3 linked regions of the Saccharomyces cerevisiae S288C genome follow. The gene in region 2 interacts genetically with the main gene of each other region. Each region holds a gene or a part of one and is shown on either strand. Other genes may lie near its edges. The genes, in order: BNI4, IXR1 and RIM101.

Region 1 (3,761 bases), on a different chromosome or scaffold from region 2:
GAGATCATCATCACCGAAGTTAATAAAACTTGCAAACTCCATTATATCAGAAATTAACTCGTTATCATCATCTGCAAAAACGCTTTGCCTTTCAGAATCCTTCTTCAGAGGTTCTTCTCTTGGTTTTGGTACATCCCTTTCAACTTCAGTTTTTTCTTCATCAGAGGCCATCACTAGCTGGTCAAATTTTTGTTCAATAGACTCTAAAAATATGTCATCTTTTTTTAGTGGACCACTATCGTCCTTGATATCTAAAAAGTCCTCATTCGTGGTACCTTCGTAAGAGTGTTCTCTGGAGAAATTATCTGAGTATTCGAACCTTCCATTCTTTAAAATGCTGCTAGCAGGAGACTTCGTCAAGTCTGGAGTAGATAATACAACAGAAGATGCCTCAGTGATGAACATTCCCTCACTTTGCGCTTTGATCGATAGCGTATCTGTCAATGACCTTCTTTGCGAGTTCATTGAACTTCTCTTGTTAGACTTTGTAGATCTTGTTCTTTCTAAAGAAACGATCGAGTCGACTTCATGATTATCCAAAAATTTTGGGAAAAGAACCTCACCTGTATCGTGTTTGGAAAATGCTGGTGAGGGTGCTTCGTAGTCCAGTGATAAAAAATTATCCTTGGTTGGTAATTGAAGATCATTTTTGGCATCATCATCTTCTCTTACGTGTTCTTGTAGCGGGGTATTTATCTGTTTATCACCTCCCAATATGAGATCCATGTTTAAAGGAGTAGGTTTTCTCTGATCAATTGATCTCGTTACGTGATCTATTTTCACGGGAGTATCGTCGTGGTTTTTTCGTAGTAGAGGTGATTCAGTGGATAACACTGATGCGGCGTCAATTATTTGTTCAGTATCTTGCTTTTTGTCCTTGGATTTTGGGGTTCTTTTTTTTTGCCTCATTGGTTCCTTTCGAGGTGAGTCTGATGTTTCAATTTTTCCCTTTAGGAAGGAATTGAAAATGCTACTGCTACTGTGAGACTTCTTCTTTAGTTTTTCAGGCGTTTTTAAAGAGGTTTGAATATTCATTGAGAAAGTGCTCGATGAAGACATCTTATTTTTTTCATTCGTTACACTATTATTACCAATAACTGGTTTCGGTTCTTTCTTCTTCAGAAATGAAAATATACTCTTTTTCTTTTTATGCATAGAAGTGTCTTCAAGTACCGAGCCTGCTGAAGTAGTCCTTTGGGCAGAAGAATCAGTATACTTTCGCGCTTCTGCTTTGTTTAAACGAACTTTTGGGTTGTATAATTTACTCGAAGGAGGCGAGGGTTTCGGATCCTCTTTTAAAAATGGTGCGCTATGTGTTGTGCTTTCAGTTTCTGAATTAATGATAGTATTTTCCTCCCGCTTAACTGGTAAATTGTTGTCTCGTTCGAGAATAGTACGTCGTGTACTAACTTTGCTCCGAGGTCCCTGAGAATCAGGTTTTACTCTAGGAGTGGACAAAAAGTCAGGTTCTTCGAAAGACGGTAAACTCAAAGGGGCAACTTGAATACTATTGGATCCGTCAATGTCAATAAGGTTTGGAGAGGTCATCGCCAAGTTTTCATTTGCTTCCTCTCGTACAGACAGCCTGGATCCAGTTATATCCTCGTGATAATTGATCGAGTTGTTTTGCTCTTCGGCCTCTTCTTCTTCTTCTATTATGGAAGACTCAATATTTTGTGCCTTTCTAGTTTTTTGGTCAGCATATTTGGATCTTTCGTTCAGAATATCAGCCAATGCACTTAATGAGGGGGAAGTTGTCATATTTACCGTTTGTACTTCTGAGTCTCGGGCATTACTTTCTCCAAACGACCGCTGCAGAACTGAGCTTTCAACATCCCTATCAAGGACGGATTCGCATGGCTTTATTGATGAATTTAGACTTTGATCTGATATCTCCTTCAATATCAGAGAATTTCGAAAGGTTCTAGCATGATCAAGTGTATTTATCGACGTCGACGAATAAAAAGTAGAATTTAAAAGTTCTGAGGACTTTGAATCTGAAATACTATCCGACATATTCTGTTGAATACGTAGTGATATATCGTTATTAATAAAAACGCTGCTCGTACGGCTTTTGCACTCTGGTTGTTGAGATTTCTTTGTCAATTTATTTGAGTCGCTTTTCCTGTTGTTTATTTGCAAAGTCAAAACCTGTACTAATAAGCGAACTTGAGGGGGTCAACTCTAAGTGTGAGAATATTACACGTCTTGTTCTAAAGAAGATATAAAGCCAATCTGATTTCTTCGAATCTGAAATGATTTTTCATACTCGGGACGATAGAAGAGAGAAGTTGACTTGACGCGTCTCCGCTGACGCGCCTATATAAGACAAAGATTAGCTCGCGGGTAATAAAGAACAGGCAGTGATCTAAAGAATATATAATATAACCTGGGAAACTTATACACTTAATGGTACGGTTGTAGTTACATAATCGAGCAGTTCTTCTGCTGAGCAGTTTTTTGCAATAAATGGATTTTTTCATCATAATTATTTTTCTTGGTATTACTTTCCACGACGGTACTGCTACCGATGCTTGGTTTTGTACTTCCAGAGCCCTTTGGTGAGATTGGAGGCGTCGATTCACGGTCGCTTTTTATTGGAGTAGAAGAATTGTCTAAGAGTATTTCTGTAGGAATTTTATTTGTCGGTACTTGTGTTATATTATGAGGTATAGTAGCGTTTTTAGTTTTCACCATTTGTAGCTTGTTAACTGTACTTATATCATGCATCGCAAGTTTGGGAATGGAAAAATTTAAAACCACAGAGTCACCATTATACGAAAAATCTGGTTGAATCTTTTCCATTGGGTCCTTCCCTGCAGTAATCATACAATTTGCCAAATATGAGTAAAGTTGTCCCCATAGATTTTTGAGTTCCAGTGTGAGAAAAGATCCAAACCTGTCCTGCAATGTAGTCATAAATGCTTTTCCCATTACTTCGAAACCAACGGTTTTGATGCCGAGAATTCTGGAATGGCGTTTTCCTAATTTCACAATATAATCATCTAGGACATGAACGTTTTCAAGGTTGTCAATAGCAGAATCAAGGACCTTACAGAACGAAACTGCTTGATGTTTTAATGATGGAAAATATTCTTCTAACAAGGGATCCATTGCAATCAAATTGTCATAAAACTGTGAACAAAATAGTGCAGTATCAACCTTGTTATCATTGTCCCTTTGTTTTGTTTTACGTGGCCTGGCAGTAGGGTCAATAGTTTTGGAAATCATACCGTCAGGAGCAGTATTCAAATAGGGTCTTTCTGTTGAAGTAATATGTTTATTGGAATACAGAAGTGCTTGAAAAACTTTTAATTCTTTAGGTGTTAAATACTCCCTGAGGAGGATATCCCAGGACATTCGAAGTAACAGCAGATCTCTTGCATTAACTTTAAAGTCGAATCCTTCTGTATTCGGGGAGTCACCACGATCTATCTTGACCTGGTAGACACTACCTTCGGAACGTGAAATAGATTGTGGCATAAAATCGCTTCCGGAGTTTTTGGATGACATTTCACTTCTCATGGAATGATCATGAGAGCCAGGTCTCTCGTTTATTTTCAAATTATCGACTGGACCTATACTACTGCTGTTGTAGGAAGGCAGGGTTACGTTGTACATCATCGGTTTCGTATGGTGGACATTCCCGCTAGACATGTCGCTGTTGGTTAACAACTGCGAATGAAGTATTTTTTCTCCTGTCATACACAACCAGCTTATATGTGGATGAATGCAAACAACTGCAGCGGTCCGGTGGCGAG
Region 2 (3,761 bases):
ATTTACGGTGCCGGGTCTGCGGGCCTCGGTATCGCAGATCAAATTGTGAATCATATGGTCACGCACGGCGTTGACAAGGAAGAAGCGCGCAAGAAAATCTTCTTGATGGACAGACGTGGGTTAATTCTACAATCTTACGAGGCTAACTCCACTCCCGCCCAACACGTATACGCTAAGAGTGATGCGGAATGGGCTGGTATCAACACCCGCTCTTTACATGATGTGGTGGAGAACGTCAAACCAACGTGTTTGGTTGGCTGCTCCACACAAGCAGGCGCATTCACTCAAGATGTCGTAGAAGAAATGCACAAGCACAATCCTAGACCGATCATTTTCCCATTATCCAACCCTACTAGACTACACGAAGCCGTTCCTGCCGATTTAATGAAGTGGACCAACAACAACGCTCTTGTAGCTACCGGATCTCCTTTCCCACCTGTTGATGGTTACCGTATCTCGGAGAACAACAATTGTTACTCTTTCCCAGGTATCGGTTTAGGTGCCGTACTATCGCGTGCCACCACCATCACAGACAAGATGATCTCCGCTGCAGTGGACCAACTAGCCGAATTGTCGCCACTAAGAGAGGGCGACTCGAGACCTGGGTTGCTACCCGGCCTGGACACCATCACCAACACTTCTGCGCGTCTAGCTACCGCTGTGATCTTGCAAGCACTCGAGGAGGGAACCGCCCGTATCGAGCAAGAACAAGTACCGGGAGGAGCTCCCGGCGAAACTGTCAAGGTTCCTCGTGACTTTGACGAATGTTTACAGTGGGTCAAAGCCCAAATGTGGGAGCCTGTGTACAGACCTATGATCAAGGTCCAACATGACCCATCGGTGCACACCAACCAATTGTAGACGAAGCATAACCAACGCCTGCACTTAAAAAAAAAAAACCATATAGAGTAATATATAAATATATATATTTGTACAATTTTTTTCTTTATTTTTAAAAAAAAAATAATACTTGACATACCGTAATAATAATAATAATAATAATAATAATAATAATATAATAATAATACAATAATACAATAATAAAAACAATAACAACAGCAACAATAGCACAAGAACATTAACCCAAGCAACTAGCAATAACAAGAACGGTAATTATCAAAACAAAATATGATACCAAATGCGGAAAAAATCGGCACATATCCATAAAACATACACATCGTGCTTAGCGATCTACATACCGTGGAGGAATGGGTGGAACGGTTACTGACGACGGCCGCGCGGGGTTTTGTGTTGGGTGTGATGTCCGGATGCAACAGCAGCAAAGGAGAGGCGCAGCGGACCTTCCTTACTTTCTTTTTCTTCTTTTCTTTTCCACCTCCCCTTGGTGAGAGAACGAATGGGAACAAAAAAAAAATGCACACATCAGCTGGTGGAGCCAAGTATAGACACGGCCCGGCGCATTCGTTCTCTCTCTCCTTCTGTCTCTCGTTCTCGCTGTAAATGTGGTTTACTTCGTTATCCTCTGTACCGTAATCGTACTGCATTGTATTCTGTTTCCTCTACTGCTAGGTCACTGCCTAACAGCTACTGCTACCGAGACTGTGACGCTGAAGTTTATTCGCTCTGATATCCCACAAAGAACTCTATTACACACAGACAAGGCAAGGCAACGCAAGTCAAGGCAAGACCACAACTATATCCCCTTCTTCTATCCATTCTGTGATATACGTACGACGCTAACAGTACCCACAACTGCAATGAACACCGGTATCTCGCCCAAACAGGACGACGCCTCTAACTCCAACTTACTCAACATAGGCCAAGACCATTCGCTGCAGTATCAGGGTCTCGAACACAACGACTCCCAGTACAGAGATGCTTCTCACCAGACACCTCACCAATACTTGAACCAGTTTCAAGCCCAGCCTCAACAACAACAACAGCAGCAGCAGCAGCAACAACAGCAACAACAACAAGCGCCTTATCAAGGTCACTTCCAGCAGTCGCCTCAACAACAACAGCAAAATGTTTATTATCCACTACCTCCACAATCTTTGACGCAACCTACTTCGCAGTCGCAACAACAACAACAGCAACAACAACAACAACAGTATGCTAATTCGAACTCAAATTCAAACAACAATGTTAATGTTAACGCGCTACCTCAGGATTTCGGTTACATGCAACAAACCGGATCGGGCCAAAACTATCCGACGATCAATCAACAACAATTTTCCGAGTTTTACAACTCCTTTTTAAGTCATTTAACTCAAAAACAGACAAACCCTTCTGTCACGGGTACAGGCGCGTCTAGTAACAACAACAGTAACAACAACAATGTTAGTAGCGGCAATAACAGCACTAGCAGTAATCCTGCCCAGCTGGCAGCCTCCCAATTAAACCCTGCCACGGCTGCTGCGGCCGCCGCAAACAATGCTGCTGGCCCGGCTTCGTACTTGTCTCAGCTCCCACAGGTGCAGAGATACTACCCGAACAACATGAACGCTCTGTCTAGTCTTTTGGACCCTTCCTCTGCAGGAAATGCTGCAGGAAATGCCAACACCGCTACTCATCCTGGTTTGTTACCACCCAATCTGCAACCTCAATTGACTCACCACCAGCAGCAGATGCAGCAACAGCTGCAATTACAACAACAACAGCAGTTGCAGCAACAGCAGCAGCTACAACAGCAACACCAGTTGCAACAACAACAACAACTTCAACAACAACATCATCATCTACAACAGCAACAGCAGCAACAACAGCATCCAGTGGTGAAGAAATTATCTTCCACTCAAAGCAGAATTGAGAGAAGAAAACAACTGAAAAAGCAAGGCCCAAAGAGACCTTCTTCCGCTTATTTCCTGTTTTCTATGTCCATAAGAAATGAGTTGCTTCAACAATTCCCTGAAGCAAAGGTCCCCGAATTGTCTAAATTGGCTTCTGCAAGGTGGAAAGAGTTAACGGATGATCAAAAAAAACCATTCTACGAAGAATTCAGAACCAACTGGGAGAAGTACAGAGTTGTGAGAGATGCTTACGAAAAGACTTTGCCCCCAAAGAGACCCTCTGGTCCCTTTATTCAGTTCACCCAGGAGATTAGACCTACCGTCGTCAAGGAAAATCCTGATAAAGGTTTAATCGAAATTACCAAGATAATCGGTGAAAGATGGCGCGAGTTAGACCCTGCCAAAAAGGCGGAATACACTGAAACTTACAAGAAAAGATTAAAGGAATGGGAAAGTTGTTATCCCGACGAAAATGATCCAAACGGTAACCCAACCGGTCACTCACATAAGGCCATGAACATGAATTTGAATATGGACACTAAAATCATGGAGAACCAAGACAGTATCGAGCACATAACCGCAAATGCCATCGACTCAGTTACCGGAAGCAACAGTAACAGTACCAACCCAAATACGCCCGTTTCTCCTCCGATTTCATTACAGCAGCAGCCGCTCCAACAACAACAACAACAGCAGCAACAACAACAACACATGTTATTGGCTGACCCCACTACAAATGGTTCGATCATAAAAAATGAATAACAAATAAACAACTTTAGTTTTCCACTGTAACATTATCCCACGCAAACAACGAGAATAAGGAATTCCTTTTTCAACATTTGTTTTATATTGTACTACTCTATTTCCTATTACTACAAATTTTACTTTATTTAATAATAATTTTTCTTTCCCTTTTTCTAACTTCAGTCTATATGTATTTGCCTGTATACATATACGCATGTGTGTAGTCTTCCCTCCTTCTTGTTTTTGTAATATACTTAAGCCAAATTC
Region 3 (3,761 bases), on a different chromosome or scaffold from region 2:
AGTTAGTTCCCATTTGGTTTTGTAAACTCAATTTTTCTAAAGATTCTTGCAAGAATGCGTTTTCTTCATCTTTGTCCTCACTTTCTTCATCATCTAAATCTTCCATGACACAGCACAACAAGTAGTCCTTGATAATGTTCACTATACCCAACATCTCTACGAAATCATCCTCTATCTCGCTTTCGTCATCTACTTCTTCAATCGCCAGCTTACTCATGATAATATCATTAGTACAGCTTTTTTGGTTCAGGCTAAATTCCCAGTTAGGCTTCAATGAAGTTCCACCTGCCATTGTACGGCGCGATGGTAACATTGGTATCTTTGATTGTAGAGGCGGTAATATAGAACAGCCACTGGAGGAATAGCTAGGCGCAGCACGAACAGATGGATAGTGTGGCATAGCATACTGTGATTGGCGGTTGAAAACACCACCGGCAGTGTTCGAATGTAAAGGTGGCAAATGTTCAGTAAGCGAAGGACCAGTTGGATACTTGGCCAACCGTACTGGCACATAAGTTGCTGTATTTGCAGTGGCCGAAATAGAGCTACCACCTTGTACGGATTGGTATGAAGGAGCATTAGGTGGCTGCACATAGCTTGTTTGTGCTACGGGGATGCGCCCAGATGATGACGAGGACTCAGTACTACCACCGCTTTGTTGCAAAATGTAGTTATTTGTCATATTTCTCGATAGTTTGGTGAAGAATTGGGTGGCGTTTGCTATGGTCTTATTAGAACAACCGTCCTCGTAGACATTCATGCTCCGACTGTTGGCACCTTGGCTTACCGTGCTGCCGTTATTGTAGTATAATGGCGGCAAGATCGTTTGCAATCTGGCACTCAATTGTGGAGAATATACCGGCTTATACTGAGATAGCTCGTCTGAGCATAGTTGGTTTAAGGAAATAGCCCGCTGCTGCTGTTGTGAAGGCAGATGTTGAGATATACCCACGGGCAATGGGGGTAATATCTGTGGAGAAGTAGAATGTGACTTAAAGCTACCAGCTATAGCGGAAGGCACAGATGCAGAACAAGACGACACTGCGTCGCTTGCACAACTTTTGTTTTTCTTAGAAGTTCTTTTTGAGCCCCATTTGGGTCCCCTCTTTCTTTTCAAAATACCGCCACTTTCCAGATGAATTTTCAAATGCTTTTTTAAATCTTGCGGACGTTTAAACTTTTTGGAGCACGTAGAGCAACCGAACGGTTTCAATGGTACGTGAACTCTCAAATGCGAGGTGATATGGTCCCTTTTCTCCGTCTTCGTGGTACAGTCTCCCCAATGACAATTCAATTGTAGGTTCTTATGTGACTTCCTGCCAACATGGTCATGACACAGATGATTATATAGCAGCTCTGGTTGGTTGAAAATCATACCACAGTTGTCCCATTTACAATATAGTGTTATATCCTCAGAATCACCGTCATTATCCGCATCGTCGTCATCACCTGCCGGGTTATGCGCTTGTGCCAATGGCGAGGAGGAGGACGAGTCAGAGGAAGATGATGTGGTGGGTGAAACTGCCGAAGCGCCCAATAGATCGTATGGAGGAGTGTTCAAGTGTGAAGTACTATGATATGGTAAGCATGATGAAGAAGTGCTGCCTGGTGACATCCGTTCATCTTCTTGACCGTTCAAGCCAATAGCTTCCGTGGTACACCTAATTCTAGGCCTCTTCGAACAATCAGAAGACCTTTTAGATAGGTTAGGACTGGGCAGCCCGTCCTTCTTTGTGACGTTAGAAACGTCTGTCCCATTTTCTACTATACTCTCCCGGCTGTGTTGAGGTGCGGCAGTGCCATTTTCTTTATTAAGCAGATCTTCCAATGGCACCATCTTAAGTCAATTTAAACAAACCTACTTTACCGTTTTCAGTATTTTATCTTTGCACTTGTTCAAAAAGTGTTGTGCAATAGCAATATTACTTTCTCAGTGGAAGTGATAACAGACCAATAAAAAAAAAAAAGGTTATAGACGGTGACTCTTATGAAAACATTTAGTTCCTTTCTATATTATTGAGTCTTAATTTTTTATCTTTTGTCTCGTAGATTGGCATCCCTCACCCGTCTGAAATGATTTTATAAGCCTCCGTCATCTCGGACGTAATTTTAGAAACTCCGAGCTGGACGGCTATTTTATTTTCTGCGCCGTAATCTGTGAATCACAGAGAATGTCTCGCACGAACGCGGTATTTAGATTATTGTGCCTGCTGTCACTGGGCAGAGAAAAGTATGTACAAGATAACAGCGTTATTGTCGTAAAGCATTCTTTTGAGAACATTCGAAGGAAAAAAACAAAGTTCAGAATTAAAATTATGTATGTATTATCGTTCGTGGAATATTTATTACGTATAAGAGCTGCAGTCTTTATTCGTTCATTAGCCGCAGAACCCTCCTGGAGTAGTCTACGTTGTCTGATAACGAAATGGTAGAGTGGTTTGTGGCATCGTCATTTGCTAAAGTGTTAAGCATCTTACTTGGGTCTAGCCTCTGATCCACCAGTACCGTGTCTTCACCTAGAGTAACGTTTGATTCCATTTTTTCGTGTTGCTTTTGAATGGGCGAATGAAGAAAAGTAGAAGTTCTTCTGGGAAGAATGGGATCGTGAAATGGGCTTGCCAACGTGCTTGGGTCATTTGGTGGACTGCCTGCAGTCAAGGAATACGTAGATTGACGTGGGGATGGTGATTCAGACATAATTTGTCCCTTTTCATCAGTGTATATTAATCTTGGGGTCGAGAAAGTTGAATTTGAAGATGGTGAAGGCGTGTGTAACGTGGTAGTGGTAACTTCATTTGGGTACTTGGACTGGTAAAACTTACTCTGATATTCATTCTCAAAATCTTGAGCCTTCCGAGCGGGTCTTGTTCTATAATGATGTATTAAGTATATTAGTATGCATATAATTACCAAACATACCACTCCAACCACGACGAAAGTAGCGGCTATTTTCCCGGGCGAATCCCAGTACCCTTTCTTTTCTGTAGACTTGTTAGTTGGTGTATTGCTGTTGGTGGTGTTACTATTGTTATTGTTTGTTATTCTACCACCTACGCTGGCAGACGTAGTAGCCACTGCAGAAGTAGGAGTAGCCCCGAGGGTGGAAGAGTAAATCTGCGTTATTACTTTTTTCATGGTGAGATATCTCGAGGTGATTTCCGAAATGTTAGTGTCCATGGTGTGCACTGAAGTCACTGTTATCACAGAATACTTTAAGGAGGTCTGCAGGTTTACAGAAGTTATAGTGGACGTTATTGGAGATGCTGTGGTACTGGTGTAAGTAACCGTAGTGCTTGAAGGGGCTGTACTGGGTGATGTCGTAGTGAACGTTGTGCTCGTTGGTGTTGTATTAGACGAGCTTGTAGGTGCTGAAGAAGAAGTTGGCGATGTTGTACTTGTTGAAGTGGAAGTTGACGACGTCGTGCTTGTAGAAATGGGGGCTGACGATGTTGTGGTTGGAGTTGATGATGATGATGATGATGTGCTCGTGGAAATGAGGGTTGACGACGTAGTACTTGTGGTGGTAGATGTTGATGATGTGACACTTACGGTCGTAGAAGTCGACGATGAGGTACTTGTGGTGGTAGAGGTTGACGATGTCGTGCTTGTGGGAATGGATGTTGACAACTTTGTGCTTGTAGTCGTGGGCAGTGCCGATGTTATATCAGTTGATGGTGTTGTACTGGTTGAGGCGGTTGTCAATGGGGTCGTACTCGTTGACGTCAGAGTCGGCGAGATTGTGGTTGTGTCCACAATACTCG

What was found.
Region 1: mutations in IXR1 (region 2) and BNI4 impair growth when combined (synthetic growth defect), as found in Saccharomyces cerevisiae (4 studies listed by BioGRID, with this or other methods).
Region 3: mutations in IXR1 (region 2) and RIM101 together harm fitness more than expected from each alone (negative genetic interaction), as found in Saccharomyces cerevisiae (3 studies listed by BioGRID).

Annotation. Positions count from the first base shown.
Region 1 is NC_001146.8:210,177-213,937, reverse strand, and holds the start of BNI4 (Bni4p), read right to left. Parts: upstream 2,017-3,761; coding exon 1-2,016. Other genes in the region: YNL234W (uncharacterized protein), read right to left, coding at 2,425-3,705.
Region 2 is NC_001143.9:379,816-383,576, reverse strand, and holds IXR1 (DNA-binding transcription repressor IXR1), read left to right. Parts: upstream 1-1,718; coding exon 1,719-3,512; downstream 3,513-3,761. Other genes in the region: MAE1 (malate dehydrogenase (oxaloacetate-decarboxylating)), read left to right, coding at 1-861. UniProt on the Saccharomyces cerevisiae protein: Binds to platinated DNA and confers sensitivity to the anticancer drug cisplatin. Activate the expression of the COX5B gene.
Region 3 is NC_001140.6:49,187-52,947, reverse strand, and holds the start of RIM101 (alkaline-responsive transcriptional regulator RIM101), read right to left. Parts: upstream 1,838-3,761; coding exon 1-1,837. Other genes in the region: WSC4 (Wsc4p), read right to left, coding at 2,368-3,761. UniProt on the Saccharomyces cerevisiae protein: Transcription factor that mediates regulation of both acid- and alkaline-expressed genes in response to ambient pH.